2 linked regions of the Caenorhabditis elegans genome follow. The protein of the gene in region 1 interacts with the protein of each later gene in a pairwise test. Each region holds a gene or a part of one and is shown on either strand. Other genes may lie near its edges.

What was found.
Region 2: the proteins of F47G4.4 (region 1) and mei-1 interact in a two-hybrid assay, tested with the Caenorhabditis elegans proteins (2 studies listed by BioGRID).

Annotation. Positions count from the first base shown.
Region 1 is NC_003279.8:14,062,634-14,070,669, reverse strand, and holds F47G4.4 (WD_REPEATS_REGION domain-containing protein), read left to right. Parts: upstream 1-1,866; 5' UTR 1,867-1,904; coding exon 1,905-1,917; intron 1,918-2,994; coding exon 2,995-3,110; intron 3,111-4,123; coding exon 4,124-4,381; intron 4,382-4,915; coding exon 4,916-5,056; intron 5,057-5,110; coding exon 5,111-5,258; intron 5,259-5,310; coding exon 5,311-5,411; intron 5,412-5,824; coding exon 5,825-6,004; intron 6,005-6,051; coding exon 6,052-6,189; intron 6,190-6,504; coding exon 6,505-6,803; intron 6,804-6,860; coding exon 6,861-7,192; intron 7,193-7,239; coding exon 7,240-7,404; intron 7,405-7,452; coding exon 7,453-7,625; intron 7,626-7,676; coding exon 7,677-7,781; 3' UTR 7,782-7,921; downstream 7,922-8,036.
Region 2 is NC_003279.8:8,292,904-8,297,440, forward strand, and holds mei-1 (Meiotic spindle formation protein mei-1), read left to right. Parts: upstream 1-1,970; 5' UTR 1,971-1,978; coding exon 1,979-2,155; intron 2,156-2,205; coding exon 2,206-2,544; intron 2,545-2,590; coding exon 2,591-3,318; intron 3,319-3,637; coding exon 3,638-3,821; 3' UTR 3,822-4,037; downstream 4,038-4,537. Other genes in the region: npp-2 (Nuclear pore complex protein Nup85), read right to left, coding at 1-9, 62-597, 644-737; abts-1 (Anion exchange protein), read right to left, coding at 4,391-4,501. UniProt on the Caenorhabditis elegans protein: Catalytic subunit of a complex which severs microtubules in an ATP-dependent manner. Microtubule severing may promote rapid reorganization of cellular microtubule arrays.

The sequences.
Region 1 (8,036 bases):
GTGCCAATTTGCAAGATATCAAAAAATTATTAACTAGTGATTTATAGTACTAAAATTTTGCTACATTTCATCAGTTGAAAAATTTTTGATAGATATTTTAGTTTTGGAGATATACGAGTTTTAAAATTGTAGATTAAAAAAAATTGAAATTTTTTTTGAGCAAATTTTGAAGCCATTTTAACTTTGCCAATTTGCAAGCTATCAAAAAGTAGTTCACTAGTAAATTATAGAACTAAAATTTTACTACATTTTATTAGTTAAAAAGTTTCTGACAGCTGTTTTAGTTTTGGAGATACATGAGTTTTAAAATTGTAGATTTAAAAAATTTGAAAAACATTTTTCAAAATTTTCAAACCCCTGTAATTCTGAAACTATGAGACTTGTCAAAAAGTTGCCAACTAACAAAATTTAGCAAATTTCTTGTCAATTAATTTTTTAGTTGACAATTTTTTCTATGTTCATTTATTTTGAAGCTAGAGAGCCACAACTATATAGAATTTTATTTTTTTGAATCAATTTTCTCCAACTTTTCAAGTATTTTACGCATTATTCATACCTTAAAAGTGACATTTATTACGAAAAAGTGATAAGGGGGTACCCTATGGCAAACATGTACTCCTCCTCCTCACTCACGTTCCGTTTTTGCTCTCACTTTATTTGCTCTCTGTCTTTGCTTTTTCTTGTGTTTTTTTTTTGTGAATTTTGCTCCGTTTTCCGCTAGTTTTCCTTTTCGACTACCGAAAAAGAGCATTTTCGGTGATAAAAAATTACTTTGCAAAATTTTGCTAAACTAGAAAAAAACATTTTGTGAGGGAATTTTTTGCTGAAAAATATGAAGTTTCTTAAAACAAGAAAAGCTTTTAAAATCTATTAAAACTTTAAGTTTTTTTAAAAATCATTTTTAAATTTTATAAATATAAAATTATTTAATTTTTAACCACCTTTTCGAAACATTGATATCTTTAACTATTATCATATTTTCAACAAATTTTTCATATTTTGTTAAATTGTAAAAATAAAATTTAAAATATGATAATAGGAAAAGATTTCAACGTTTCAAAAATGTGGTTAAAAATGAAAATTAAAAAAAAATCTTAAATTTGTTTTACTGTTACATCTTTAAAAACTACAAAATTTATTTCAAAATTTATTTTTGAAAATTGTTTAAACTAAGCAAATTTAAAAAAGTTTTAAATCACTCCAACTTCAAAAAAAATTAAAAATTGTTGTGGTTTTTTTTATTTTTAGTTTGAACTTCCATATTTCAAAAACTACTGAATTAATTAAAAAGTTGTCAACTAACAAAATAAAGGAAATTTTTTGCTTAACATTTTGTAAATTGACAACTTTTTGATAACTTTTCACAAATTTGAGGTATGGTAGTTTTTTCTTTTATAACTTTTTATTGGTGGCAGCTATCAAAAAGTTGGCAACTAAAAAAATGGTGCAAATGTTATGCTTAACATTTTGATAGTTGACAATTTTTAAAAATCTTCAGTTTCCCAGAAGTTATGCCACTTTTTCTCTCCCCCCCCCCCTCCTCGAGTTCTTCCTTGTTTTCATCTATTTTCGGCCCTTTTTCCAAAATTCATTGGATTGATTCTTTCCAATGTTTTTCAATGTTTTTTTCATGGTGTTCGGTTTTAGGATTTTAATTGAAAACACACACCCTGGTGTCTATTTTGTCTATTTTCCCGAAAAAAAAATCCGAAAATAAAATTTTCCCCCTTCTTTCTGTCTCGACGCTCTATAAATTCAATTTCCCTCTTTTTTTCTCACTTTTTCTATTTTTTTTTCACTACTGTACAGCTCTTTAAACTGCGGTTATTTTTGGAAATTTCAGCTAATTTCAAGATTTTTTTTCAGTGTCATATTCTTCCCATGCGGAGCAAATTGTACAAAACATGAAAATTGAAGGTTGGTTTTGATTTTTTTAATTTAGAAAATGCTAATTTTAATTAAAAATACATATGTATGCTGGTTACTAAAAAAATTTCAAAAAAATTTTCCAATTTTCAAAAAAAAAATTTTTTCGAGATTTTTTCAAACTTTCATATCTCCAAAACTACGAGAGCTATTAAAATGTTGCCAACTATCAAAACATAGAAAATTGTGTGATAAACATTTTCATCGTTGACAAAATTTTGATAGCCTTGCTCTCCGCAGAGTTAGAGGAGCCTGAAGTTTGTTGGTACTGCGTTCAGGCTGACTGGAATCTTATAGGGTAACAACTATAGGTTTTAAGGTACTTTTACAGTAAAAATTAATAAAATATTGCTCTTTACAATGTCATAAGTAAAATTTAGAAAAAAACCACAATTTTGAACATTTGAAAGTTTTTGACCAAAAATGTTTTTTTTTCTCAAAAAACATATTTCTCCAAAATTTCTAAAATTTTGCTCACAATCAGACTTTAAATTTCATCCAAATCTATTCCAAACTCTCTAACTATGCCAATTGATGACGTAAACTCTAACCCAAGCTTCTGGGGTGGAAAAGTAATTAAATTTTAGTATTGTGGTGCACCCGCCTGGAAATTGGAAATTGGATGTGTTCCATGCTCCTCTAAGAGAAAAGAGGGCCGTAAAAATAAAAGTACAAATGTATTCCCAAAGGGTTTGTCTAAATTTGGAGGAGAAAAAAAAAATTTGTTCGAATCTCAAAATATAAAATTTCCAATTATAAATTAAAAATTTGCACTTTTGGATTAGTATATATTGAAAATTTCAGAGCCGTAGCTTAACTTTGCACTGAGTTATAAGGCTTCAAAGTATCTAGTTCAACCGCGACGCAACCGCGCCGCACCTACTTAACTTCAAAGCCCTGTAACTCAGCTCAAAATTGACCTACAGCTTTGAAATTTTTTCTCAGAGCTGATTTTAAATTAAGCTTTCATTATCGTTAGCAACCAATTCATTGGGCCGCGACGCAACCGCGTCGCTTCAACCAAATTTTGAAACTCCTTAACATATAGCAACCTTTCCCATTTTTCAGTGGTATCGGCACTACCGCACTCGACGGTCCATTCGGCAGTCCTTTCGCGTCGACACCGCTCCGTCATCTGCGCGGGACCATACGAAGTGCTTCCACTGGAGGGGTGTTCTGAGCCGGTAAGTGTTCTTTTTGTAGTCCAGGGCCATCTGCTTATAATGAGTGGGACCACATGTTGCGAGTCTCTTTCCAGAGCAATTATTCATTGTTTTGGGGCGTTTTTGGGGTCAGACGGATATAAAAGGATTATCCAGATTTTTAAAAAATCTTACATTGTTCACAGTTTGCAGTCAAACTTTGGAAAAAACCTAAATTACAGTGTCAAAAAATTTCAGAGCTCTCGGTCTTTTGAGAGCTAAGATATGAAGCTTTAGAATTTTGACCAGGCGTTGCGGTCGCGTCGCGGCCACCTCCTAAACTTTAAAGCTTGATAAATTTGCTCACCAAGGTCCTAAAGCTCTGACATTTTTGCAGAAGCCTCAAAATTACATGTACTATTCAAATATCTAGCTTTAAACTTTTTAAGCAACAAAAAAAATTTTCGGCCACCCATTTAATTTCCTCCTCTTCCGATCTTCCCCCACCCCGTATAATCCTCTTTGTACCTAACGAGCCGTCAATAATCCCCTCGGCACTTTCGCTGCTTATCGAACCGTAGTTGTCAATTTGAGAAGTGTTACTGTCTCTGCGTCTCGCCTCTCTAATAACAAGATTCTGCCCAGCGATAAGTTTTGATCCGGAATTCTCATGGGGATGCGAACATTGAAAAAGGGTGTGAAAGGGTTCCATATCTAGATGATTGATCTGCTGGGCAGGGAATTTGAAAAGTCTTTGGGAAGGGGGAGCTGGAAAATTTTCAATAGGTTCATAACTTGACAGGAAATGTTGAAAAGAATAGCTCTAGCCGATCTAAAACTTCAGAAAAAATTTCAGAGCTCTGGCACGCTTTGGAGCATAGTTATGGTGCATCGAAAATTGGCGCATGCGGCGCGGTCGCGTCGCGGTTATCTAACTTGGCTCAAAATGGTCCTAGAGCTCTGAAATTTTTTGAGTGACTCTGTTAAGTTTACCACATTCTAATTTTCTATAAAAGCTTGAAATGTACCTATTTATACAAAAACAAATTTTTCAGCTCCCAAGCACCTCAACTCTCAGTGAGCTACCCATCGAGTGCCTCCGACTCTCCACAGATGAACGGACGATCGGTGCGGCGACAAATGCGATTCTCAAAGTTGCGGATATTATAACAGGTCACGAGGTGCGGAATCTAACGGGACACACCTTGCCAATAACCTCCCTAGCCGCTAGCAAGTTCAACCCTTACTGCTGGTACACCGGGTCATCGGATTGTGATTGGACGCAGTGGGATACTAGGATGAATCCGTCTAAAGTGAGTTGAAAAGTGCAAAAATACTATCCAAAAAGTGTCCAAGCTTCAAATCCTCTGTGATACCGAGCCGCGACGCAACCGCGACGCGTGCCCAAATTTTTATCAAAAATGGCAGATAAATACTAGATAACACTATTGGCCAAATTTCACACCTCCGACTCAATTGTGAGCAAAGCTTTGACATTTTAAAAATTGAGGTAGACCGCGACGCGACACGCGACGCACTGCCGAAATTTTATGGCACCGTAACTTTGCTCCCAGTCGTCGTAGGATTTTGAAACTTTTTGTGAAAGCATTCTCTAGAAACAGACTTTTTTATAGACTTTCAACGCGCGTTGTAAAAGAAACTTTCTAATTTTGAAGATCGACCGCGACGCGACACGCGACGCACGCCCAAAACTTCAATACCACATAACTTAGCCCATAGTGGTCCAAATTTTCTGAAACTTTTTGTAATCACCATATCTGAAATAAAGCAGTTTTTTAAAGCGTTCCCAAATTTTCTGAAACTTTTCAAAATATAATGATTTTCAGATTTTCGGGTCCAAAACCCCTGGCGTTGTTCGAAGTATCGCATTATCACCTGGTGATCGCTATGTAGCAGTTGGCACCGACGAAACTATACAGATTTTCGACGCCAGGCAGCGGGAATTTATCAAAACTTTTAACTGTTCGGTAGGTGCTTTTCACTGGAATTTCTGACCATTTTTAAAAAATCAAATTTTGCAGGGTCACGCACTAGAGCTTCACCCCAGCGATGTGCTCCTCTCCTCCGTTGGTCATGATAGGATAGTTCGGTTTTTCTGCCTAGAGACTTTTGAAATGATATCTCAATCCGATCCGTTTCTGGATGATATTCAAGCCAGCGCTTTTGATAGTAAGAATTATATTTAATTTTGGGCCAAAAACATCAAAAAATTGAATTTCAGCCCACGTCATGATAGCTGCTACCAATGATTCTATCAACCTGCTCACTTGGGAGCCCTGCTGTGATATTCTAACGACAGTACCTCTGAAAAATGTGGAGAAGGTAGGGATAGTAACTTGACAACACTTTTGGCTCACTGAAAAATGTGAGCAAAAAGTGTTGTCAGTGTGTGCTCTAGTATTAAAGATCCTGTAACTTGCGTACCAGTTGACGTAGAGTCTTCAAATTTTTAGACGACACTTGTAAGCTTTCACCCACGCGTTGCGGTTGCGTCGCGGCTTGGCCATCAAATTTCTTAGCTCTGTAACTTAGCCAACTAGTAGTCCTATAGACTTGAAACTTAGTCAAAAAGTCACATCGGAAAGCAAATTCCTATCTTATTTTCATGAATCCAAATTTCTAAAAATGTTCATTTTAAGGCATTAACCCAACATTTCAACGCCAGTTATGATTGATTATTTTTTGGCGGAGATTCCAATCTTCTTCCCTTTGTTATGAATTCCATGCCATTTCAGGTCGTCAACGTGAATGCAAACGGTCTGGATTTAGACTTTATTTGCATTGGAGACAACACTGAACGTCTCGAAATGCGCACCTACGCTATAGAAGAGCTGCTCTCCTATTCGCCGAGCCACGAGCTCTGCGGGAGCATTTACGAGGAGGATGAGGATGTGGATAACTCGCCGATTGATGAGGTATTAGCTTTGGGTTTGTACTTGGGGTTAATGTAGGAATTTTCCAGGTAAAAGCGCTACCGGAGCTCACAGAGTTATCGAATTTGCCGCCGAGGTCGCCTGGCTTGTCATGTGAAGAGACGGAGACGTCAGCGTCACCTGTGAATAGTAGCAGCAGCCATTCTAGCCCGACTAGTCCCGTTAAGGTAAGAATAAATTTTTGTCAGAGGCCCATATCTTAAGTACGGACTGCTTCTGGGCCAGTTTAAAAGGCTTCCGAGTCTCATTTTATTGGCCTAAAAACTCGTAAGCTGTCTCAAGTCGTTAGTCTCAATTGCAATTTTCCAGTTTTAGACCAAAGTCTGTATCTAAGTTCAATCCCCTCAATCTTCCTCACAAGACAGTCTTTGAGCTTTGTAAAACCTAAAAGAGCTCTCCATATATTTTCAAACCCTCTAGGGAGTTCCCTCTCCCCTGCTCCAACAGCCGCAGCTTGACATCCAACCTCTTAAATCTTACAGCCAGCTCCCGTCAAACACCGATCGGCATCTCAGAAGCTTCCTGGAAAATCGACCAAGACCCTGAACCCAAAACCAGCGGGGTCCACACGCTCTGTGACCCCAGTCTCCACAAAGCCACCTCGAACATTTGGCACCGCAAAGAGTGTGATTGTCTCGTCGAAGCCATCACTAAGCGGGTACAATAACCGCGCGAATCCGTCGCCTTCTATGTCGGATTTGAGGACGACAAAGTCGATGGCAGGGTCTACGACGTCTTTGTTGAGTGAGAGGGCTCCGAAGAAGCGGTCAACGTCGAGCCGGTAAGCAGGACTAGAGGAAGTAAAGTTTCAAAACTCTAAAACTTTCCAATTTTCCAGCCGTAACCAAGAGCCCATCACCATCACCTACATTGGCCGCCCACGTACCCCTAGCGAAGGAGACGTCGCATCTACAGTATCCTCCTCCACATCCCGCAACCGTCGCCCATCGCCTTCCGTGGCGAAGAAGACCTCCCCTCCGTCAATCTACGCGATCACCTCTTCCCCGGCCAAGCGTGCCTCCTCCACCGCTTCAGGGCCTACTGCCAGACGCCAGAATTCCACGTCATCGGTGACCTCTACCACGTCGGCCAAGACGCCTGTAGGGGTCTGGGGAGCTTGTATAGAAACTGTACATGACATCGGGATAGTTGCGAAGAAGGAGAATAGAAGTGAGTTATTTAGGATCTAGCTTGAAGCGTTAACTACTGGAATTCAGACATCCGACGGCTCAAGATGCTTACCTCCCGTCGAACGAGCAACGTGGATATCCCTCCAGAAGTGTGCTCCGATGAGCAACTAGTGTTAACCGCCACGAGGATACTGAGCAGGAGGAACGATTGGTCATTGAACAGCTGTCATGCCTACCTTCCAGTCATAATAGGTAATCTTGCTTGGTAGTGAAGGTCGTAATGATGTTTTGAACTTTCAGACAACATAGCCAGTGTAGACGTTACAAATCGAGCTATAGCCCTGGAGGGTCTCGCAGCGATCGCTGACACCCTGGGGGAGAGGCTCGTGAAGTTTGCGTCCATGAACTCCCATAGGATAGGAGTAGATGTGGCGGCGGAGGAGAGGGCCGAGAAGGCGAAGGCATGTGTTCAGGTAGGCATCTTGTAGGGGTTTTGCCCTTATTAACCCTACAAATAATTCCAGCACCTCCGCTCCCTGGTCAAAAAACGCGACTGGTACTACAAACAACTCGACGAGCCATCCATTCTCAAACTCGACCCGATTCTAGAGCTTTTAAAGAAGATCTAGCTACCTCATCTGTGATATATTGTTAAGCATTCCCACCACCACTCGCATTTTTGTTCTTTTGTCTTGTCTTTCAGTCATTTGGGTCAGAGATTTTCAGGTTTCTCTACGAATTCCCTCTTTTTAATAAATCATTGAATCATAAATCATAAATTTTACTTTGAGGGCTTCTTATTGCAAAGTCGTGAGTTGTGAGGTGTGAAAAGGGATTTATAATTCATAAGAGGGGGATTTCAGAAATCCTAAAGTTATTGATAA
Region 2 (4,537 bases), 5.8 Mb from region 1:
TGTGTTAGCCTGAAATAAGAATATTACGAAGTTTAAGAATTATTATATAAATGGGTCTTACTAATGCTTCGTCGACTAAGTTTTCGGGATTGAAGAATGTGAGAGCCTCAATGAATGCATCACATTCTGATCCGCCTCCATGTAGCTCCAACAGTTCAACACAATCGCTGAAATTGCAACTAAGCAAGCTGACTGCTACTCCCTTCCAATATTCTTCTGGAATCGTCTTCCCCGGATGCAGATATTCCACAGCTGATTCCATGGCTCCTCTAGAAAACGTGAAGCTCTGATTGGCCCATGAAATAAGATCCGCACATATCGAGCTATCACCTCTTCCAAACCATAATTTCTCGTAAAGTGACCACAAAGCAAAGTCTGTCATGAAGTCGGAACTGCTGTGAGACACGGCGGCATTGTAGAGAACTGAACGATAAGCTCGAGAGAATGTGCAGCAAGTAGGCGTGTCTAGAGGTGCATCAGGTGAGGAGCCTTTTTGACATTTATCAAATACAGAATACATTTCGATAACAAGTCGTCTGAGATTTGGTGTCGCAAGAATTTGTCGATTTTGTGAAACTTTCTCGACCAAGACTGTTTCTGAAAAATCTCTTATGTTGGAAACTGAAGAAGATGCAATTTTTACCTTTATTTGAAAATCCTTTTTTATCTGTTAGGAAGGCGAAGACCGTGGAGGAGTCGCTGACAGCTATCCCGAATTCTCGAGCGACATCCGTCATCTGAAAGAGATACTAATGTCATGTGAAGTGGTATTAAAAATATAGTAAGCACGGTAGAAACATTAACTTATAAAATTGAGATTTCTGATAAATAAAATTTTTCCGGGAGTTCTGTAAAACTTCTTACGGTTTTAACTTGATAATTCCATAGGGTTTAAAATTTCCTTTTGTTTCTTGAGTTTCTTCTCGGAATTTGAACAAAAATAACGCGTTTAATCTCGAATCAGTACAATGATGGACTACACGGCAGTTTTAAAAAACCAATTAATAATAATAATCCTAAAAAATGAGAAGAATATTTAAGAAAATGTAAAAGTTTTCCGCGGAATTCCGCTAAAATTCGAAAATTGAAAGTGTTCAAATTGCAAGCGATTGTGCATTCAGACGTGACAGTGTCTGGGGTGTATTGCGTACTCGACATTTTAACTGACGACACTTGTACTTTTGCGCCATACTTCCGGAGCTCCAGCTCCGCGGAGCCCTGAGCAATTATTTTTTTACTTTTTATGAAAAGCTTTCTATAGATATCTTTTAAGAAGTTACACTATAATTGTGCAAATCAAACTGGCTCCGGACAACACAAATTTCGTCTATACCTTTATGATCTTTTTTTGTTAAACAAGTGAAACAATTATTTCCTTTTCAAACTGCTCTTGTTTCTTCTCTTTATTAATCAATTTTTTTTTTTTTGCTTTGTGTAAATTAATTGTTTGTCGCGGATGAGCTAATTCTGAGGTTTGACCAGCAGAAATCTGTTTTCTGAAAAATCAATAACTCGCCGCTTAATTTTGGTTTTATTCAAGTGATATGCAATTAGAAGGTTCTAATCATTTATATCTCGCTGAAAGATCTCAGATTTCAAGCCTTTTGCTAAGGATTTAATTCCTAAAACTTTTTTTGACCTATCATTTTTTGTGTGATCTACCGCTGTAAATACTTGTTGTTTTGCGGCTAAACTCTTTCAATGTTTCCAACAAGTGAGCCAATATCAAGTAAAAAAAGAAAAATCGTTTTCTATTCAACCATTTTATTCTGTAAATAATATTAAATTCATCTTCACGGTACAATCTTCTTCTCCCATCTAATAAAGTCCACGCACACTCCGTTCCGTCGTTTCCCTATTCGTTATCATTCATCATCTTGCCATTTTCTTCTCCGCCAAATCCCATTGTCTTATACTAAATTTCATCCTCTCGTCTGTAGAAGTGTATATTATTGAAAAATTAAAGTATATTTTCAGGATGAATGGGGATGTGCAGTCAGTCATTCGCGGATATCTGGAGCGAGCCCAAGTCGCGAAAACAATGTCCGATGCCGGACGATGGAATGAGGCTGGTGATCTTCTTCGTCAGCTCATGACAGATGTCAAAAGCTGTAAAATTTCGGCAAGCAACAGAGACGAGCATGACGCAAGAAATGTACGTAATATAAATCTTTTAAAAGCTTGTTGAATTATTTGAAATTTCAGACATTCCTACGAGCCCTAGAGGCTAATTTGAAGCTTGTCCAACAAAATGTGCGCGATGAAGATGACCTACACGAGGCGATGACGCGACAAAGTGGAAGTCCAGAGCCACCTGCAGACCCAGATGTTTGGTCCAAACCATCGCCACCGTTACCATCCTCATCGAAATTTGGAGCAACAAAGAAAGGAGTTGGAGCAGCAGGTCCACGTCCCAGAGAAATATCAAAGTCAACGTCGTCGATGAGCACGAATCCGGCTGATGTGAAGCCTGCGAATCCAACACAAGGAATACTGCCTCAAAATAGTGCTGGAGATTCATTCGATGCATCGGCTTATGATGCGGTAAGTTATTATGTTTTCCAGAAACAAAAATCAGAAATCTTTTCAGTACATTGTTCAAGCGGTGCGTGGTACAATGGCTACAAATACGGAAAATACAATGTCTTTAGATGATATAATCGGAATGCACGACGTGAAGCAAGTTCTGCACGAAGCCGTCACTCTTCCACTCTTGGTGCCAGAATTCTTCCAGGGTCTCCGTTCACCATGGAAAGCAATGGTTCTCGCTGGACCACCTGGAACTGGAAAGACTCTTATCGCACGTGCGATTGCTTCAGAGTCTAGTTCAACTTTTTTTACCGTTTCCTCGACTGATCTGTCCAGCAAGTGGCGTGGTGATTCCGAGAAGATTGTTCGTCTGTTATTCGAACTTGCACGGTTCTATGCTCCATCCATAATCTTCATCGATGAGATTGACACACTTGGTGGACAACGTGGAAATTCTGGAGAACACGAAGCGAGTCGGCGTGTTAAATCCGAGTTTCTGGTACAAATGGACGGGTCACAGAATAAATTCGATTCGCGACGTGTATTCGTGCTGGCCGCCACAAATATTCCATGGGAGCTCGATGAGGCACTCCGAAGACGTTTCGAAAAGCGAATCTTCATTCCACTGCCAGATATAGATGCAAGAAAGAAGCTTATCGAAAAATCAATGGAAGGAACTCCGAAATCCGATGAAATTAACTATGATGACTTGGCGGCAAGGACTGAAGGATTCTCAGGAGCTGATGTTGTGTCTCTATGCAGAACTGCTGCTATCAATGTGTTGAGAAGGTAGGTAGCAGGAATGTGCAGAAAATCTTTTTGGAAAACGTGCTTGTTTCAATAAGATAATCCAATATTTCGAATCAAAAACTGGTATAGAAATGGCAACTTTCATGCACTATTTAATGTTTTTAAACGCTTGTAGACAAAATTAAATAACATTTTAAGATGAAATGAACCGTTTTTATAAATTTCGATATCAATTTAAGATTGAAAAGTTGGATTATCATAATTAAAAAAAAGCCAATTTTGTACGTTTGCTGAAAAAATTTTGCTAATCGCGATGTTGCAACACTTTTTTCAAGAATCGACACTAAGAATCCTTAAGATATTTCAGATACGACACCAAATCATTGCGAGGCGGGGAACTGACAGCTGCAATGGAATCACTGAAAGCCGAACTCGTGAGGAACATTGACTTTGAAGCAGCTCTTCAAGCAGTTTCACCAAGTGCTGGTCCAGATACAATGCTCAAATGCAAAGAATGGTGTGACTCTTTTGGTGCCATGTAAATCAACTATTTATTGTGATCTCCTTTTAGTTTAAAATATTGTGGCCTAGCTTTGGTTTTTGAAACTCTGAAACATTGTACAGATAAAATTTTCAAGGCCACCTTCATCCAAACATCTCTCCCCGATTCACTCTTTCCTGTAAAATACTTATTGGTTAAATTTGTATGTAAAATGAATCATTTTGCCACTCACTGGATTATTTGGAAATATATAAAAGTTCATTTGTGAAAGAAATATAAGAAAAGAAGACAGTGAAAAAAAACGATACAGGAAAGAAAATAAACATCGATTAGAAAAGAAACTGAATAAAAAACCGCCCTTATGAAGGGTAACTATTAGTGGATAAGTGTTTAGGAAATTTCATGTGTGAATTTTAATTGTCTAAAAGGTTAACATTTTGGAAGAAGAAAGATCAAAAAAAAAAGAAAGCAAATTTTGTGGAACACGATTCTCTTACGGGGGATAACAAACGGAATTATGACGGTGGACTGTAAGGAAAAATTGAGAAAGATCTGTGATGGGCTGGACCACGATAAGAGGAAGTGGGGAAGGCTTTCAAATTAGAAAAATTAGACTTTTGGTTCATCTGGATTAGTTTTTGGTGGTTCCTCATCCTTCAAAAGTGGAGTATTTTCAGTTGTTAAATTCGATGTCGAAGTGTGTGGAGACGGACGAATTACCTGAAAAACAGATCGTTCAGATATTTTACTAAGTTT